2 linked regions of the Anolis sagrei genome follow. The protein of the gene in region 1 purifies or fractionates together with the protein of each later gene. This does not show direct contact. Links are inferred from orthologs where the notes say so. Each region holds a gene or a part of one and is shown in the gene's direction. Other genes may lie near its edges.

Region 1 (10,559 bases):
AGGTGGATATAAGCAATTGGTCTTTTCTTCTTCTTTTTGGACAAAGTTTCCAAATCTATTAGAGCTTTCAACAAAGGATCACTGGCTACTGTTTCCATAAAAGATGGGGTTTAGAGCAGAGTGAGAAAGAAATTTCTTTGTGTATATTCCTACACACAAGGGAGTCATATTGAAGAACTTGCCATCTGTTCATAATCTCCCCTGCCCCTCAATACAAAGCATAACACATTTAAGATCCCACCAAAAAGAGCTCATACTGAAATTTTCCAGAAGGCTAGATGCATTCGTCTATTTAGCAACAGCATCCCATATCTATGTCAGGGGTTCCAATCAGTTTGAAATTCCCAGTTGACTAGTGGAAGGGACTCCTCACTCCTGTTAGAGATGTGGTCGCCTCAGGAAGAAAAACAACATGCAGACACAAAGCTGTTCATTCCAACTGGGAGGCTTTTCTCACTTAAGTTGCAGTAATAGTACAAATACTAACACAGTATGCACAAGTTCTCTCTCTTCTATCTTCATCAACCAACTTCAATCCACTAACCTCCAATTCTCATCAACTCAACACAGTTACTACAAACGAAGGCCCCTTCCACACAGCTGTCCAAAATCCACATTGAACTGCATTATATGGTAGTGTGGATTCAGATAATCTAGTTCGAAGCAGATATTGGGGATTATCTGCCTTGATATTCTGGGTTATATGTGGCTGTGTGGAAGGGGCCTTAGGTAACAGTCTCAGCACTCAGCTACCACATCATTCCAATTACAGGGAACCTGTGGTTAATCCTGAGACAGTTATCCTGTTAGCACTTAGAGAAATGCTGGGTAATTTACAGATTTTGACAATCCACACATTCAACACTGCTTGAATTTTTTTTTAAATCCAAGAAACCAAATCTTAATTTTGCCAATTTATACCGAAGACATCATTGTAATATGCCATTGTATATAATGGAAGTTTGCATACAGAACAACAGAACTATGGTGAGTTTATGTTCCTGTGACCTATATCAGCCTCTTGCACATTGACAGTTTTGATCAGAATTTGGAAAGTTTCATATGAAAAGTGCATGTACACATGTTCTAGTATCCTTTTTTTTCCAAACAACACATATCTAACCAGTGGGACTACACATACCCTGTAAATGTATATGTAATAAGAGTATGTATGTATCTATAGGTATTTTCCAACTTGGTTCCCACTTCCAGGAAACCTCGTAGTTTCTGTCAACAACAGATCTGGATTAAACTTGGCACACAGATCCCCCGTGACCCAATAGGAAATACTGGAGGGTTTTGGGGTTCATGGTTGACCTAGAAGGAAGGGATTTTCAGCCCCTCCTATATCCAGAAAGCCCTGTGATCCCCCACTGATGATGGATCTGGACCAAACATGGCACGCATACCTTTCATGACAAAATTTAAGTACTGCTGAGTTTTGGAGGAGGTGGACCTTGGGTAATGGGATTTGCAATTCACCCACATCCAGCAACCACCTTAAACTCCCCTGACAATGGATCTGGACACATACCCCTCATAACCAATTTTAAAGACTTGTGGGGTGGGCATACACCCAGATGATGAGAATTGTAGTGCACCACATTCTTGTGCATTTTCTTAATGGGACCATTCATAAAATTAAAAAAACAATGATTTTTTCTAATAAATAATGTTACAAATTACCCAACCAGCACTGCTGGGTACCAAAGCTACTGTAGTAAAAAAAAAAAAAAAATTCAAAAATTATGCCATGTAAGAACAAAATTCTCTTCTGTAGGTTCATAGTTATAATGTAATTTAGGGCCATTTTACATTGCCATAGAAATGCAGATTATCTGCTTTAAAATGGTTTATATGGCAGTGTAGACTCATATAATCCAGCTCAAAGCAGATAATGTGGATTTTCTGTGGCAATGTAGAAGGCCACAGTCATGTCTTAAAAGTTTTTTTGGGAAGTAGTCACCAGATCCCATCTGATCTTGAAATCTAAGGAGGGTTTGCTCTGGTTACTACTTGGATGAGAGACTACCATGAGAATGAATACTCTGAGAATAATTGGAAGACACAAGGGCCTCCCTCTTGATCTTCCGGAAAAAAAAAGTGAAAACGTGGCTATTTGAACAAGCCTTCCGAATCTAATTCAACATTCAAACACGGACTTAGATGAAAGTGAACATTGGAACGGCTCAGACGATGATTTTTGGATAATCAGACTAACAATGAAGCCATTGGTTTCATGTGTTTTTAAAGGTTTTATTGAACGTACTTTTAATTCTGTTAATTAAATATTGTTAGGCTTCGGATGGCTGCCTGTTTGTTAGATGCCTTGAGTCACCTTCGAATTCAAGAAAGGCGGGATAGAAATATCGTAAATAAATAAATAAATAAATAAATAAATAAATGAAACATTTTAAGGTTGTCTCCATAAGTCATAAGTGAGTTGAAAGCTGACAACTGGCAACATAAACTCTGCGCATTCCCCTTCCTAGGAACACCATGGGGCCCCTATGGCTGGATCTGCACTGCTCTATATTACAGGAATTGATCCCAGATTTGCGGCTTTGAACTGGATTATGTGGTCTCCAATGTCATATAATCTGGGATAAGAATATCATCTGGGATCAGATCCTGGGATATGGGGCAGTGTAGAAGGGGCCTGTCTGAACACAAAAGTTATTGACATTTCATATACTTAGGCAATCCCTTATTGTCTGAGTAGGATAGTCTTCCAGGATCAGTGTACTGGCGGTGGGTCCATAGGTAATTGTGAAGCCCTATTCTTTATCTGCGTCTTCTCCCACTGTGAGGCCATTGGTTTCCAGGTGGAAGGCAGTCCCGGTCAGGGATGACTTGATGCACCTTCCTCTTGGCACGTTTCTCTCTTTTATCCTGGATCCGGCACAGTCTGGCTTTAGACCGGGACATGGAACCGAGACAGCCTTGGTCGCCTTAGTTGATGATCAATGCCGGGGGGGGGGGGGGGGGGGGGAGTGTGTCCCTGTTAGTTCTGCTGGACCTCTCAGTGGCCTTCGATACCGTCGACCATGGTATCCTTCTGGGATGCCTCGCCGGAATGGGCCTGGGGGGCACTGTTTTACAGTGGCTCTGGTCCTTTCTGGAGGGTCGCACCCAGAAGGTGTTGTTAGGAGACACCTGTTCAACCCCACATCCTTTGTCTTGTGGAGTTCGTCAGGGCTCAATACTGTCTCCCATGTTGTTCAACATATGCATGAAGCCGCTGAGGGAGATCATCCGGAGTTTCAGGGTGCGGTGTCATCTGTACGTAGATGATGTCCAACTCTGTCACTCCTTCCCACCTGCTACTAAGGAGGCTGTCCAAGTCCTGAACTGATGCTTGGCCGCTGTGACGGTCTGGATGAGGCAAACAAATTGAAATTGAATCCAGACAAGACAGAGGTACTCCTGGTCAGTCCCAAGGCCGAACAGGGCATAGGGTTACAGCCTGTGTTGGATGGGGTTACATTCCCCCTGAAGACGCAGGTTCACAGCTTGGGTTTGATCCTGGACTCATAGCTGAGCCTGGAACCTCAGGTCTCGGCGGTGACCAGGGGAGCATTTGTACAGTTAAAACTTATGCGCCAGCTGCACCCGTACCTTGGGAAGTCTGACTTGGTCACGGTAGTCCACACTCTGGTTACATTCCGTATAGACTACTGCAACACTCTCTACGTGGGTTGCCTTTGAAGACGGTCCGGAAGCTTCACCTAGTCCAACGAACGGCAGCCAGGTTGTTAACAGGAGCAGAGCTCAGGGAGCACACAACCCCCTTGTTGCGCCAGCTCCACTGGCTGCCAGTTTGCTACCGGACCCAATTCAAAGTGCTGGCTTTGGCCTATAAAGCCCTAAATGTTTCTGGCCCAACTTACCTGTCCGAACGTATCTCCCCTTACAAACCACTGAGGACTTTAATATCATCTGGGGAGGCCCTGCTCTCAGTCCCGCCTTCATCACAAGCACGTTTGGCCGGGACGAGAGACAGGGCCTTCTCAGTGGTTGCCCCTCGGCTATGGAACGCTCTCCCTAGGGAGATCGGATTGCTCCCTCCCTCTTGATGTTTTGGAGGCAAGTTAAAACGTGGCTATTTGAGCAAGGGTTTACAAATACAGAGTAGCTAATATAGGAAATCGAATGACCTGACAATGGAATTGGATAATGCTTGAGAATAATGAGACGCTGATGATGTTGTTTTTATTGCTTTTGTGATGTCTTATACTGTTTAATGTTTTTTATCTATATTATGTTTTATGTATACTGATTTGTTGGAAACCGCCATGAGTCGCCAATTGGCTGAGAAAGGTGGTATACAAATACAGTAAATAAATAAATAAATAAATCCTCCATTCATGCCTCTTCAAATTCTACAGCACTGCTGGTCACAGCTGAACTCCAGCTGGAGTGCTCAAGGGCCAGGGCTTCCCAGTTTTCAGTGTCCATGCCAGAGTTTTTAGGGTTAGCTTTGAGCCCATCTTTAAATCTCTTTTCCTGTCCACCAACATTCCGTTTTCTGTTCTTGAGTTCGGAGTAGAGCAATTGCTTTGGGAGACGGTAGTCGGGCATCTGGACAATGTGGCCGGTTCAGCGGAGTTGATGGCGGAGGACCATAGCTTCAATGCTGGTGGTATTTGCTTCTTCCAGCACGCTGACATTTGTCCGCTTGTCTACCCAAGAGATTTTTAGGATTTTCCGGAGGCAGCGCTGATGGAATAGTTCCAGGAGTTGCATGTGATGTCTGTAGACAGTCCACGTCTCATAGGCGTATAGCAGGGTTGGGGCGACAATAGCTTTATAAACAAGCACCTTGGTCTCCCTGCGGATGTCCCGGTCCTCAAACACCCTCTGCTTCATTGGGAAAAATGCTGCACTCACAGAGTTCAGGCAGTGTTGTATTTCATATACAATTCATGCCCATAACCTGAAGATAACGTTTCACAATAATTTTAACAATTTTGTGCATCAAGTTTGTGTACATTGAGCCATTAGAAAGTAATGATGTTCAAAACACTTGGAGGGCCGAAGTTTGCCCATGCCTGGGGTATACACACGTTATCTTCAGGTTGGCAGTTCCTTTTGCTACTAGAATAGGGACCCGTAATCACCTACAGATGTGAGAGCTGAACCATAGGGAAGGCTGAGCGAAGGAAGATAGATGCTTTTGAACTGTGGTGCTGGAGGAAAGTTTATTAGGAAAGTTCTGAGATTGCCTTGGACAGCAAGAAGATCCAATCACTCCATACTTCAGGAAATAAAGCCTGACTGCTCATTGGAGGGAAGAATAGTAGAGGCCAAGATGAAGTACTTTGGCCACATCATGAGAAGACAGGAAAGATTAGAGAAGACAGTGATGCTGGGGAAATGGAAGGAAAAAGGAAGAGGGGCCGACCAAGGGCAAGATGGATGGATGGTGTCATTGAAGTGACTGGATTGACCTTGAAGGATCTGGGGGTGGTGACAGCCGACAGGGAGCTCTGGCGTGGACTGGTCCATGAAGTCAGGAAGAGTCGGAAAAGGACTGAATGAATGAACAACAACAACATAGGGAGGAAGAGACAAGCGAACCAATCAGAGAGCGTGTGAGATGCGTTCGTCCAATCACATGCCTCCGTCCTCTTTTGAAAAAAAAAAAGCTGCGAGCGGGGCAATCTTAGCCTCCTTTCCAGCTGCCCCTTGTGAGTCTAAGTCCCTCCTCCTCATCCTGGTCAGGAAAAGCAGAGCGCGGCGCACTCTCTTGCCCTTTCTCGGCCGCCGTAGGCGAAGGAGACAGGCGCGTTCTCGCAATGCCTGTTGGGACGGGCTGCTAAGTTCTTAAGAAGCGGGGAAAGTCTCTTGGAAGCGGTGGAACTGTGTGGAGTAGGCCCGAGGCGCCTCAGGGCGTGGAAATGATGCGGGCCGGCTAGAAGTCTCTTCTGGGTGAAGTGCGAGGGTGAGCTCAGGCCTCGTCGTGGATCTGGGAGGCGGAGGGTCCCTCCCCACAGAAGCCCTCTCCCTCGGGGATTCGGTGGCTGAGAAGGTAGATAGGCAGACTTGCAGGCCCCTGGGAACAAGGCAAGCATCTTTTGTGCCTTCAGTCTCACTGCGGGCCTTATACACAACGGGGAAAATCACAGCTTGCCTCTTGGAATTTTGTTTTGGATTGTTGTGAAGCCATGGGAACCGAATCCGTGCAGGGTTGTCGCATACATTTACCTTCAGATTATGCCAGGCATGGGCAAACTTGGTCCCTCCCTCCAGGTGTTTTGGACTTCAGCTCCCACCGTTCCTAACAGCCTCAGGCCCCTTCCTTTTGCCCCTCAGCCGCTTAAGCGGCTGAGGGGCAAAAGGAAAGGGCCTGAGGCTGTTAGGAACGGTGGGAGTTGAAGTCCAAAACACCTGGAGGGAGGGACCAAGTTTGCCCATGCCTGAGCTGTGCCACAAAGTTCTTCTTCTTCTTCTTATTCACCTCTCCTGATGGCTCGAAAGTCAAAAAGGTACAAGCATAAAATGTAAACAATAACTCACATAGCTAAAACACAAAAAATGTAAAAACTTGCACCAAACACAGATACAGAATTGACATATAGTAGCAATAGAATGTAAATCAATGTTTCTCAACATGGGGATCAAGACCCCTGAGGGGGTCGCAATGAGAGTGTCAGAGGGGTCCCCAAAGACCATCAGAAAACACATTATTTTCTGTTTATCATGAGGATTCTGTGTGGGAAGTTTGGCCCAATTCTATCATTGATGCGGTTCAGAATGTGCTTTGATTGTAGGCGAGCTCTAAATCACAGCAATGACAACTCCCAAATGTCAAGGTCTGTTTCCCCGCAAACCCCACCAGTGTTCATATTTGGACATATTGAGTATTGGTCTCAAGTTTGGTCCAGATCCATCTTTGTGTTGAGTCCACAGTGCTCTCTGGATGTATGTGAACTACAACTCCAAAACTCAGTGCCCATCAAACTCAGTATTTTCTGTTGGTCAGGGGTGTTCTTTGTTCCAAGTTTGGTTCAGTTCCATCGTTGGTGGAGTTATGGAGCCTCCGGTGGCGCAGTGGGTTAAACTCCTGTGCCGGCAGGACTGAAGACCGACAGGTCGCAGGTTTGAATCCAGGGAGAGGTGGATGAACTCCTTCTATCAGCTCCAGCTCCACATGCGGGGACATGAGAGAAGCCTCCCACAAGGATGATAAAACATCAAAAAATCATCTAGGCGTCCCCTGGGCAACGTCCTTGCAGATGGCCAATTTTCTCACACCAGAAGCGACTTGCAGTTTCTCAGGTCGCTCCTGACATGACAAAACAAAACAAAACAAATGGTGGAGTTCAGAATGCTCTTTGATTGAAGGGAAACTATAAATCCCAGCAACTACAACTCCCAAATGTCAAGGTCTGTTTTCCCCAAACTCCACCAGTGTTCACATTTGGGCATATTGAGTATTCGTGACAAGTTTGGTCCAGATCCATTACCGTTTGAGTCCATAGTGCTCCCTGGATGTAGGTGAACTTCAGCTCCAACACTCAGTGCCTACCAAACCCTTCCAGTACTTTCTGTTGCGCCAAGTTCGGTTCAATTCCATAATTGGTGGAGTTCACAATTCTCTTTGATTGTAGGTGAACTATAAATCCCAGCAACTACAACTCCCAAATGACAATATCAATTCCCCCCAACCCCACCAATATTCAAATTTGTGTGTACTGTGTATTTGTGCCAGTGAATGAAAATACATTCTGCATATCAGATATTTACATTACGATTCATAACAGTAGCAAAATTACAGTTGTGAAGTAGCAATGAAAATAATGTTATGTTTGGTGGTCACCACAACATGAGGAACTATTAAGGGGTCGCAGCATTAGGAAGATTGAGAACCACTGATGTAAATCAAAACTTACCATTGAAAGTTAGCTAAGTAAGCCTGCCAGAAGAATTGAGCCTTCAGTTACATTTTCAGTTCCGACAGTTCTGTTCACTCACATTCCATTTCCCGTTCTTGAGTTTAGAATAGAGTAACTGCTTTGGGAGATGGTGATCAGACATTCAGACAATGTGGCCAGTCCAGCGGAGTTGATGGTGGAGGAGCTTCGCTTCAGTGCTGGTGGTCTTTTCTTCTTCCAGCACACTGACATTTGTCTGCCTGTCTTCTTAAGAGATTGCAGGATTTTTTGGAGGCAATGCTGATGGAATCGTTCCAGGAGTTGCATATGACGTCTATAGACAGTCCACGTTTTGCTGACATATAGCATGGTTGGGAGGATACTGGCTTTATAAACAAGCATCTTGGTCTCTTTACGTATCTCCTGGTCCTCAAACACTCTGCTTCATTCGGAAAAATGCTGTACTTGCAGAGCTCAGACAGTGTTGTATTTCAGTGTCAGTGTTGACTTTTGTGGACAGGTGGCTGCCAAGGTAGCGGAAATGGTCAACATTTTCTAATGTTATACCGTTAAGCTGTATTTCTGGCATTGGAGAGGGATTGACTAGTGACTCCTGGAAGAGTACTTTGGTTTTCTCGGTGTTCAATGGGAGGCCGAGTTTCTCGCATGCTTCTGTGAAGGTGTTTAGAGTGGTTTGTAGGGCTTCTTCTGAATGCGCACAGACAACATTGTCATCAGCATATTTGAGTTCTATAACAGACGTTTTTGTGACCTTGGTTTTGGCTTTCAGTCGGCGGTTTGAAAGTTTGGCGGTTTGAGTCTGAGGAGCGGGGTGAGCTCTCGCTGTTAGGCCCAGCTTCTGCCAACCTCGCAGTTTGAAAACATGTAAATGTGAGTAGATCAATAGGTACCACTTCTGCGGGAAGGTAACGGTGCTCCATGCAGTCATGCTGGCCACATGACTGCATGGACAAGGCAGGCTCTTCAGCTTATAAATGGAGATGAGCACCACCCCTCAGAGTCGGAACCAACTATACTTATTGTCAGGGGAAACCTTTACTTTTACTTTAATTAAAATCACAGAAGCCCCTGATGATCTTAAAAACTTCCTTCTTTAAAGGCCTGCCTGAATGAAAAGGTTTTAACCTGCTGCCTGGAGTGGAAGAGAAGGCGATCCTGTAGGTAACCTGGACCTAAACCATGTAGGCTTTAGAGGTCAAAACCAATATTTTGTGCTTTGCATAGAAACTAATTAGCAACCAGTGCAGTCACTTTAGAATAGGTGTAATATGCTTACTCCTGGATGTTCCTGTAAGCTATCTGGCTGCCATGGATGGCTGAATCTAAGGATCCAGAATATGTGGTGTAAATTTACCTTCAGGCTATGCCTTAAGGCACATAGCAAGCCTAAATGAATGTTGAGTTTGGAATTGGGTTGCATCTGCAAGTATTCCAAAAAAGTCCAAATCCAGACTGCTTCTGTTCCCAAGCATTTTGAATCCAATTTGGTCCAGTTAGAATAGAAAGTACTATGAACAGATTTTCTGACACTTTTTATGCCTCTCCCACCAAACAAGATGCCAGTTGTTTCTCTCACAAACATACAGTCTTAGTATTTTTTGTGATTTTCGTGCTTGTCAAATGGGCGTTGTCTCAGTTGAGCATGCCCAGAATTGTGGCTTATCACTCGCCGAATAATCCTAACAAAATATGTTGTGGCTCTTCCAGTTAACTCCCTGGTTCCCACAGGGGGGGCAATTTGATTTTTAAAGGGGCAATTCAAGAATAAGTTATTAACAGTGAATTTGATGAAAGCATTACAGGAAAAGCTTTTATTTATGCATTTCAGTTTTCTGTTGTATGTTTTGAAGCTTTATTTCCTATTTTTAAATATAACTTCTAACAATTTCTTAGTTCTTTCACCCTCAGTAGTTCAACTGTCCTTTAATTTTTTTTCTTTTTCATGGATCAAGATTTTAAAGATACTTAGGTGGGGCATAGCCAAAAAATATTGGGAATCATTGAGTTAACTACTGGATATTCAATGCTGAGGAGCTGAGTTGTGAGCAGTTGTTGAGCAGTTGGTGAGGTGTGCAGTAAATGAAATGTCTAACACACAAGTGTATCTTTTGTGTCTCAGGCGTTATTCAGTTGGTGTCTGTTTCTCTGCATGTATCATGGGAGAAAGCTTCCATTATCTGGTAACTTCGAAAATGGTCCTAGTCCTATTTATTATTTACGCACTTACAGAAGTTGACCAGGTATGTGGGATGGCCATTATAATTCTAACAAGATCTTTGTTGGCATTTTGTCCAGGCTTATTTTAGTTAACCTGGGCTGCACCCACACAGTTGAATTCATGCTGTTTGATTCCAGTTTAACTGCCATGACTCAATGATTTGGAATCTTGGGATTTGTAGTTTGGTGAGGCACCACCACTTTAGCAGAGAAGGCTAAAGTGCTTGTAAAACTAAACTTGCATAATTCCACGTCTTTGAGCCATGGCAATTAAATTGGGGCCAAACTGCATTAATTTTACAGTTTAGATGCATCCTCAAGTCTGTGACTGGAAATACACATTTGCTAGATGCTGCCTGTTTTATGTGTCCTATCATGGAATTACAGTGCAGTTATTAATAGGTGTCTTCATAGTTGAGGCAGTCATTACCCAATCTGTAGACT
Region 2 (10,250 bases), on another chromosome or scaffold:
CAATGTCACAAGTTTTATACAAATATAGCTGTTACTATTGCAGCCTATGAAAACCTGAGATTTATAATAGAGGTCTTCAGAAGAAAATTCTAGGGACTCCTCACTAAACTACAAATTTCAAAATTGTAAATCTTCCATCATTATACATCTTCTCCCCTCTTGCCTTGCATGATAAAACTGATCAAAACTACATTTAAAAACCTGCAATTTTTATCTATTTTTATCTAAAAGTGTGTTTGTTTATCCAACCCTTGGAATTTCAAATGCAATCAGTAATATACAATCCCTGGAGGGTGGATCTGAAGAGGAGTTGGAGAACAAACTGTGCTATTACATTCTGTGCATTTAGATTCTCATGTGCACGAAGATGCTTAAAAATTCTTCATCATAGAGCACTAGTCTCTCATCAAATAATAATCCCAGGATTCCATAGGATGCAGCCATTGCAGTTAAAGTAGAATCATAGTGCTATCACACAAACTGAATGGCATACATTTAAGCAATAGAGGAAAATTTAACTCTCCAATTAAATCCAATTACAGTGTTCCCTCACTTATCATGGGAGTTCCGTTCCAGGACCACCCGCAATAAGTGAAAATCTGCAAAGTAGGGACATATATTAATTTTAGTATTCATACATTATTTTATATATTATTTTCTTACCCACGCTTCCTTACCCGCCTCCCGCCCAGACTGCTAATGGACAAAATGGCCATTTACTATGGCCTTCTTCTGTGCCATACTAATAAATGTTAACTGTGATGCCACCATAGTTGTTTCTGAGATTCTCCACTGGTGTCACCATATACTACTGCTGGCACATTTAGTCGTATCACAGCAATATTTTGCTGGAAAGAATCAATTAAAATCAACAGAAAGCCGTTGAGTTTTCAGGCTTTGACAGCTGAAATTTACCAACAAAGCAAAACATCAGGGATAGTTTGCTATCTATCCTTTTTATTTGTGAAACTCGTGCATATAGTACTGTCATATGCATGTCTGTTCAGAAGTAAGTCCTCTAAAGTGCAGCAGGAATTGCTCACTGGTAAATAAGACACAAGATTGCAGACTTAACAAGTTTGTGATTTTTCCCTATAGTTAACATTCCAAATGTAAGAGATCAATAAATATCATTTTAACATTTAACAACTATATTATATAGAGATAACAAGGTGGGAGTGATCAATCATGCAATTTGCTGACAGACACGTGGTATTTCAAACTAGGACAACTGATTTGACCTATATCTAGGAAACAGTGGCACCTCTAATTTTCATATCCAAGTGGGATGAAAAAATTGTGTCAATGTACAAATTTTGAGAAAACAAGCCTAGGAGTTTTCACATTTGAAGTATTTCAGATTCTGTAAAACCTCTTTACATTTCAGTTTACAAAAGTTTCACTTGCTATGATGTCTTGTCAACCTTACCACCAAAAAAAAAAGATATGTAATTTAAGTGTTCTGTGATCCAACTGAAGTACAAAAATATAGATTGTGTGATTTTCCATTTTAAATTCAAACAACAGATGAGGTTCTGAAATCACCAACACTGGTGCCATTGTAGAAGACAGTACTGGTGACCCAAAACAATGATTTATTTCAGATGTAATACTTTTCATATGCTGACATCCAGAAATTGGGAAAGTTACTTTATTTTATTTTGGACTAGCTTCCCTATGGACATATTGGCTGGAGCTGTAAATTTTACAAGCCTTAAAATAAACAATTATCTTGCAAGTACAGTCAGAGAAGCCAATCTTTCTATGTACCTGAAAGCAGCAATGTTGTGCGCATCCAGTATAAATATCTAGTATGAAGGACTAGGAAAAGAGCTTTGATTTGTGTTGTGGTCTAACTGCTTGGATGCAGTACTCAACCTACCAATGCTAGCATACCTGGTTTTACATTGATCTGATTCTCTTAACGTCAGTGGGAAGATATTTAACCAGTTTACGGTCCAACTAAAAATAACTGTGTAGTTAAAGTGTGCTTAAGTTAAAGTGTATTTACTGTCAACACTCCCAACATCCACCACAAGGAAAACATATGTTCTAATTGGTCCCACTTTTATTATTTTGAGAAAAAGGTGTAGTTGATTTTCCCATCCTGAAACTGATGACTTCGCCGATAAGTAAGCTTCCTGCTTCCATACTTACAGGTTACTTAGCAACTGGCATACTATGACCAAAAGGACAAAATGTTAATAGAAAACTATGGCATGTGCTTTGAAAATGATATCAGCATTTGGATTTCTAAAGAGTGATTAGTCTGGCCTCACCCCTGCTTATAACAAGTATTAAAAGAAGGGCAAAGAGGATGGCATTAGCTAGTTTTAAATTCTAAAGTCCAAACTGGTGGGTTTGTCTGTATGATCTTTCTCATCATCATTACTTTATAATGTTTTTGATGTCAATAGGAATTTCAAACAATTTGTTATTTAAGTAGTGGGAGCTCACCCCGCTCCCCAGATTCGAACTGCCGACCTTTCGGTCAGCAAATTCCGCAGCTCAACGGTTTAACCTGCTCCCGCTGTTAGCCCAGCTCCTGCCAACTTAGCAGGTCAAAAACATGCAAATGTGAGTAAATCAATAGGTACCGCTCCCGCAGGAAGGTAATGGCGCTCCATGCAGTCATGCTGGCCACATGAATTTGGAGGTGTCTGAGGACAACTTGGGATCTTTGGCTTAGAAATGGAGATGACTACCAACCCCTAGAGTCAGACACGACTACACTTAATGTCAGGGGAAAACCTTATGTCAGGTAGCAACCATTTCAATAACTATGTGTTGTCGGAGGCTTTCATGGCTGGAATCACAGGGTTGCTGTGAGCTTTCCGGGCTGGATAGCCATGTTCCAGAAGCATTCTCTCCTGACGTTTCACCCTATCTATGGCAGGCATCCTAAGAGATTGAGGGATCTGTTGGAAACTAGGCAAGTGAGGCTTATATATCTGTGGAATATCCAGAGTGGGAGAAAGAACTCTTGTCTGTTGGAGGCTGGTGGGAATGGTGCAAATGGCCACCTTGATTAGCATTTAATGGCCTTGCAGGTTCAATGCTTGGCTGGTTGCTGCCTGGGGGAATCCTTTGTTGGGAGGTGTTAGCTGCCCCTGATTGATTCATGTCTGGAATTCCCCTGCTTTTTGGGTGTTGCTCTTTATTTACTTTCCTGATTTTAAAGTTTTTAAATACTGGTAGCCAGAGTTTGTTCATTTTCATGGTTTCCTCCTTTCTGTTGAAATCATCCACATGCTTGTGTATTTCAATGGCTTCTTTGTGTGGTCTGACATGGTAATTTCTGTCAGACTAAAGAGATCTGTCGTAACACTGTCTGCATCTCACCTTCTCCAGATGCAGCAGAACAAAATCATTTGACAACTCCCCCCGCCCCCCATTAAAAAACAGCACTCCATTCCAAAGCAGGTTGAGCATCCCTTACCTAGAAGTTCAAAATACTCCAAAATGTCCACACGAGTGGCTGAGATAGTGACACCTTTGCCTTCTGATAGTTCAATGTACACAAAGTTTGTGTCCAAAATTATTAAGAAATATTGTGTATAAAACTATTCAGGCAATGATTATCAGGTATATATGAAATACAAGTGAATTTCAGGTTTGATAATTACACTATGCAACATGATTTTTATTCCTTGGTTATAAATGTCATTTCCAACTTGGTTCTATCATAAAAACATGGAAAAATGGATTAAACTGCAAAAACTTTGTTTTTGCGGGACATCCTGCAGCACCTTTTGCTATAGTGTTTCAATGAATATGTCCTAGAGTCTCAACCAATCCAATATAGAGTTGCTGTGAGTTTTCCAGGCTGTTGCAGAAGCATTTTCTCCTGACGTTTCACCCACATCTATGGCAGGCATCCTCAGATGTGAGGTCTGTTGGAAACAAGGAAATTTGGGTTTTTATATCTATGGAATGTCCAGGGTGGGAGAAAGAACCCTTGTCTGTTTGAGGCATCCTCAGAAGTTCTGGAACATGGCCATACAGCTCGAAAAACTCACTGCAACCCAGTGATTCTGGCCATGAAAGCCTTCGACAACACATCAATCCCACATCATTTGTGGTAGCCAGAAAAACAAAGTTTCTGGAGTATAACAACTACTTTCAAAGTAAGTCCCACATAATTAAACAGGAAATAACACTTTCAAACCAGGAACAGAACATTTCTCAAATTTTGTTACATAGTGTTATCCTTTAGCCTCCCCAAAAATAGACTTGGGTCCCATCTCCAAGGTATTCAATCATTTGCAAATTTATTATGCTGGTCATGGACCGTAAAAAAGTATTGTTGTTGTTGCAAATTTATTGGATACATGCAATAATGCTGCATTATTTGCGCATATATATAGTAAAGGTATTCCCCTAACATTAAGTCCAGTTGTGTCTGACTCTGGGTGTTGGTACTCACCTTCATTTCTAAGCCAAAGAGCTGGCGTTGTCCGTAGACATCTCCAAGGCCATGTGCCTGCCATGACTGCATGGAGTGCTGTTACCTTCTACTCACATTTGCATGTTTTTGAACTGCTAGGTTGGCAGAAGCTGGGGCTAACAGCGGGAGCTCACCCCTCTATCTGGATTCGAACCATCGACCTTTTGGTCAGCAAGTTCAGCAGCTTAGTGGTTTAACCCGCTGTATATATGCAGAGAGCCCCGGTGGCACAGTGGGTTAAAGCGCTGAGCTGCTGAGCTTGTTGACTGAAAGGTAGCAGGTAGCAGGTTCGAATCCGAGGAGTGGTGTGAGCTTCCGCTGTTAGCTCCAACTTCTGCCAACCTAGCAGTTCGAAAACATGCAAATAATAATAATAATAATAATAATAATAATAATAATCTTTATTTATACCCCACCACCATCTCCCCAATGGAGACTCGGGGCGGCTTACATGAGGCCAAGCCCAATCAACAGATTACAACAAAATAAAACCAAAAACACATGCAATAAACAACAGCATCATAATTGCATAAAACCTATAAATACATTAACGATATAAGACTACAATAAACACAGTCACAGTGACAATGGGCAGCTACATGTGCGAGAAAATGGTTTAAAAAACTGGTTAAAAACTGAGTAAATCAAGGCGGGAAGTTAACAGCACTCCATGCAGTCATGCTGGCCGCATGACCTTGGAGGTGTCTACGGACAACGCCGGCTCTTTGGCTTAGAAATGGAGATAAGCACCAACTTCCAGGGTCAGATACAACTGGACTTTATGTCAGGGGAAAACCTTTACCTATATATATATATATATATATATATATATGCAAATAAAGCATTCCAAAATAAATCCATAATAATAATAATCCTAAATCCAAAAGACTTCTGTTCTCAAGCACTTCCGATAAGGGATATTCAACCTTGCAATAATCACACACCAAACGCACAAGAAGACCTGAGTATAACACAGCATGCACTCCTGTCTCTACTATTCTGAAAGGGAGGAATGGGAAGGTGATGCTCCTGCTGCAGGCTCCCTTCTGAACCACTGGCTCCCTTTAGCTCCCTCCTCTGAACCTCAACAACCAGGAAATCCAAGCTGTCGTCCAATCATTCTCAGGCTTTGGGCCTCCAGTCCTTCGAGACTTCACTTCCCAGAATTCCCGCGTATTGTTTAGCTTAGCAAAGGCTCCTGGGAGTTGAAGTCTACGGCTGAAGCGGCAGAACAGTCCAATCTGTAATGACGTCCGGCGAGCAACGCGGCGCTTCGATGTTTAGTTCCGGCTGCAAACCCTTCTCTTCTCCCAGGCCGGCGGGCCCGCTTCCACCCGTTGTCCATGGCGAGCGGGGGCAGCTTGAAGGCCCGGGAAAGAGAAGGCATTCCCGGCGGCGGAGGGGACATGCTCGCCGGCAGCCCGCGCCTCTCTTTGGCCTGCTCCTGGGAGTGCTTGGCTGAGCTGACCAGCGTGGTGCGCCTCGTCCCGGAAGGAGAGCTCGGCTCCTGGGAGAAGGAAGGGTGAGGAAGGCGGGAAGGCGGGATGGGGCCTACCTTGAGCCCTTCAAGAAGGTTATTGGCAAGCTGGAAGGGCGAACACATTCATCATAAGCCTGGATTTCAAGATCTACGAAGAGCAGTTAAGGGAGCTGGGAGAAAAGAAGGCCGAGACCTCTTCTACACTGCCATATACCACCTATGTTATCTGCTTTGAACTGGATTGTATGGCAGTGTAGACTCATATAATTCGGTTCGAAGCAGGCCATCTGGATAATCTGCTTTGACAATCAGCAAGCATTGTATGGCAATGTAGAAGGAACCCTATGACCCTTCCACACAGCTGCATAAAATCCCACATTATCTGCTTTGGACTGGATTGTATGGCAGTGTAGACTCATAATCCGGTTCAAAGCAGGCCATCTGGATAATCTGCTTTGACAATCAGCAAGCATTATATGGCAGCGTAGAAGAAGCCGTATCCCCTTCCACACAGCTGAATAAAATCCCACATTATCTGCTTTGGACTGGATTGTATGGCAGTGTAGACTCATATAATCCGGTTCAAAGCAGGCCATCTGGATAATCTGCTTTGACAACCAGCAAGCATTATATGGCAGTGTAGAAGGAACCCTAGGCCCCTTCCACACAGCTGAATAAAATCCCACATTATCTGCTTTGGACTGGATTGTATGGCAGTGTAGACTCATATACTCAGGTTCAAAGCAGGCCATCTGGATAATCTGCTTTGATAATCAGCAAGCATTAAATGGCAATGTAGAAGGAACCTTAGGCCCCTTTCACATCTTCTATATAAATAAAAATGTAATGTTCGTTTGTGGGATTAACAGAACTCAAAAACCACTGAATGAAATGACACGAAATTTGGACACAATACACCTAACAATCCAACGAGTGTCCATCACCCCATCACACACACACACACACACACAACCTCAGAGGAACAGACTTAAAAACCCCAAAAATACACCATATATACATATACACATACATTCATATACATATACACATGCACACATTCATACAGACACACACACACACATATATATATGCACAAACCCACAGAATCATAGAGTCAGAAGAGACCTCATGGGCCATCCAGTCCAACCCCCTACCAAGAAGCAGGAATATTGCATTCAAAGCATCCCTGACAGATGGCCACCCAGCCTCTGTTTAAAAGCTACCAAAGAAGGAGCCTCCACCACACTCCGGGGCAGAGAGTTCCACTGCTGAACGGCTCTCACAGCCAGGAAGTTCTTCCTCATGTTCAGATGGAATCTCCTTTCTTGTAGTTTGAAGCCATTGTTCTATTGCGTCCTCGTCTCCAGGGTAGCAGAAAACAAGCTTGCTCCCTCCTCCCTGTGACTTCCTCACAAATATACACATATACACACATATACATATACATACACACATATATACATATACACATGTACACACATAAACATATACACATACATACATGCATATATGCACACAAATATGCATATAGACAAGTACACGCATATACACAATATGCATATACACATATAAACACACAAATACACAATTAGATATGCATATATATTCAAAACACTTATATGCATGGCAGGGGATGGTTAGTAGCTGAATAAAATCCCATATTATCTGCTTTGAACTTGAATATATGGCAGTGTGGACTCAGATATTCCAGTTCAAGCAGATGTTGTGGGATTTTCTGCCTTGATATTCTGGGTTATATGGCTGTGTGGAAGGGCCCAGAGAGGGGATTTGAAATTTATTTCATATCAAAAGCTTTGCATAAATTAGTATAAAACTGATAAAAATAGAAGGCACACAGGTGGCTAAATATCTTTTTACCAAAAATGGGCAACAGCAACGGTATTGTCTGTAGCCTCCAACAATTCCTCCTCTGTACATGAGGCAGGGCACAATGGACAAGCATCCAATAGTTATGAAACTGAGATGGACCTATAACCTTGTAACTTTTTTACAGTTGTTCACAACACAACATGAGCCTCAAAATCTATCTTTTCAGACAGACACATATTTTCCTGACTGTAAGAGCTGTTTAGCAGGGGAACTCTCTGCCTCGTAGTGTGGTGGAGGTTCCTTCCTTGGAAGCTTTTAAACAGAGGCTGGATGGCCATCTCTCAGGGGTACTTTGATTGTGCTTTTCCTGCATGGCAGGGGTGTGGACTAGATGGCCCATGTGGTCTCTTCCAACTCTGATTCTATGATTATTCTATAGGTATTCTGTGATTATTCTATGATTAAATTCCCCCAAAATGGATAGTTTGCACTTCTAAACATATTACGGCCCTTCAACAGTTTTATTTTTGTGTGCCTTCAGGTCATTTCTGACTTGGAGCCACCGGTGGCGCAGTGGGTTAAACCCCTGTGCCGGCAGGACTGAAGACTGACAGGTCGCAGGTTCGAATCTGGGGAGAGGCGGATGAGCTCCCTTTATCAGCTCCAGCTCCTCATGCGGGGACATGAGAGAAGCCTCCCACAAGGATGATAAAAACATCAAATCATCCGGGCGTCCCCTGGGCAACGTACTTAATTCTCTCACACCAGAAGCGACTTGCAGTTTCTCAAGTCGCTCCTGACACGACAAAAAAAAATAAATTCTGACTTATAGCAACAAATTGTGTTCCACTGTAATAATGTTTATTTGCATGGAATTCTTAAGATTTAAGTTGACTTCTTTCCCACCTTCTAGCGAAAACATTGTTGTTCTTGAAAGACGCTTAAACCCTGACAACAATACTCCATGCTCACTATACTTGCACTGTGACGCCTATGGATCAGAAGAAATTGTTGGTCTTGGCATTGTGAGTGAGGCACGGAACATGGAAGTCTACATTGGGGAAGAATACTGTGGAACAGCAAGGGGAGAAAAAATCTGCACTATGGAGCACGAGAGGTCAGTTTTGTCAGTTTGTTTATGGAAACAATCTGTATGCTAGTGATGTTATATGCATTCTTTCACATAAGTCTACAAATATTACTAACTATCAAACATTTTACTAGCCTGCCAAGATATTGACTGTATATAACTGATGTATAAGTTTAGACACCGTTTTGGGTTTCAGTTTTTTCAGATTATGGAATACCTATATTTGCATATGGGGCCCCTTGATCGCACAAAGGGTTAAACCATTGAGCTGCTGAACTTGCTGACCGAAAGGTTGGCAGTTTGAATCTAGGGAGTGGGGTGAGCTCCCACTGGTGGCCCTAGCTTCTGCCAACCTAGCAGTTCGAAAACATGTAAATGTGAGTAGGTCAATATGTACGGCTTCTGCTAGCCACATGGCCTTGAAGGTGTCTACGGACAACACTGGCTCTCTTCAGCTTAGAAAAGGAGATGAGAATGCCCCCCAGAGTCGGACATGACTAGACTTAGGGGAAACCTTTACCTTTACATGGAGATGAGACTCAGGTGTTAACACAAAATTTATTTATGATATAACTATAGATATATTGCACTTAATGTGGAGGCAGTTTTATTCAATATTTGTAATAATGCTGTGCATGAAGTAAACCAAGGTGTTACTATATAAGAATGTGAACAATTTTGAATCTGGGAGTATTTTGAATTTCCAGAGGAAGGGTGTTCAGCCTGTAATTGTTTTTGCTACGTTTACATAATTCTGACCTTAGATAAGCCACATGAAAGCTGTCAGAATTATTGAACTGTTGAACTATTGAATTATTGAATTGTTCAAGCATTTGTAAAAATGTTGCTTTTCACTGAGCAACATTTTATTAAGATATTAATATAATCAATATCTTTTAAAAATAGCTGAGCACACTGCTATTTTTGGGGGGGATTTTGGTGTGAAATGCTGTTAAATTGTTATAGTATTAGTATAGTCTTTTTCACAGCTCACTTATTTTATTTTCTAGCAAAAATGACCACGTTACATTATACAAAAAATATCTTAAACTGGAGTGCTCCACAGCCTCTTGTAAGATTAAGGTAGGAAGTTACTTTCTGAAATATTAGTATTGATTTACTTTTTTAAAGGAAGATAGTAGTACATAAAAGAAAAAATTCCAGTTTTGAATGCTGGAATATATAAAAAGAGGGAATTTTATAAGAAGATTTCTTTAGCATTGAATATCATATTTCTATATATACGGTTGTTGTTTTGTTATCTGCAATATTAAAATGAATATATTTTATAAATTAGAAAAGTTTTAGGTAAGGCAAAAGTTAAATGCAACCAACAATATAAAATGGCAAAGCAAGAAGAGTAGATAATCTTTACCATTACTGAGCATTTAATAACCTAGTGA

The links.
Region 2: the proteins of NEDD1 (region 1) and C3H10orf88 purify together in Homo sapiens (co-immunoprecipitation; 3 studies listed by BioGRID and IntAct, counting the BioPlex papers as one, with this or other methods). This does not show direct contact. The link is inferred for Anolis sagrei from reciprocal best matches to the Homo sapiens genes NEDD1 and C10orf88.

What each region holds. Positions count from the first base shown.
Region 1 is NC_090025.1:155,950,132-155,960,690, forward strand, and holds the start of NEDD1 (protein NEDD1), read left to right. Parts: upstream 1-5,717; 5' UTR 5,718-6,066; intron 6,067-10,559. UniProt on the Homo sapiens protein: Required for mitosis progression. Promotes the nucleation of microtubules from the spindle.
Region 2 is NC_090023.1:199,482,580-199,492,829, forward strand, and holds the start of C3H10orf88 (ATPase PAAT), read left to right. Parts: upstream 1-5,696; 5' UTR 5,697-5,790; coding exon 5,791-5,969; intron 5,970-8,670; coding exon 8,671-8,874; intron 8,875-9,857; coding exon 9,858-9,930; intron 9,931-10,250. UniProt on the Homo sapiens protein: ATPase that regulates mitochondrial ABC transporters ABCB7, ABCB8/MITOSUR and ABCB10. Regulates mitochondrial ferric concentration and heme biosynthesis and plays a role in the maintenance of mitochondrial homeostasis and cell survival.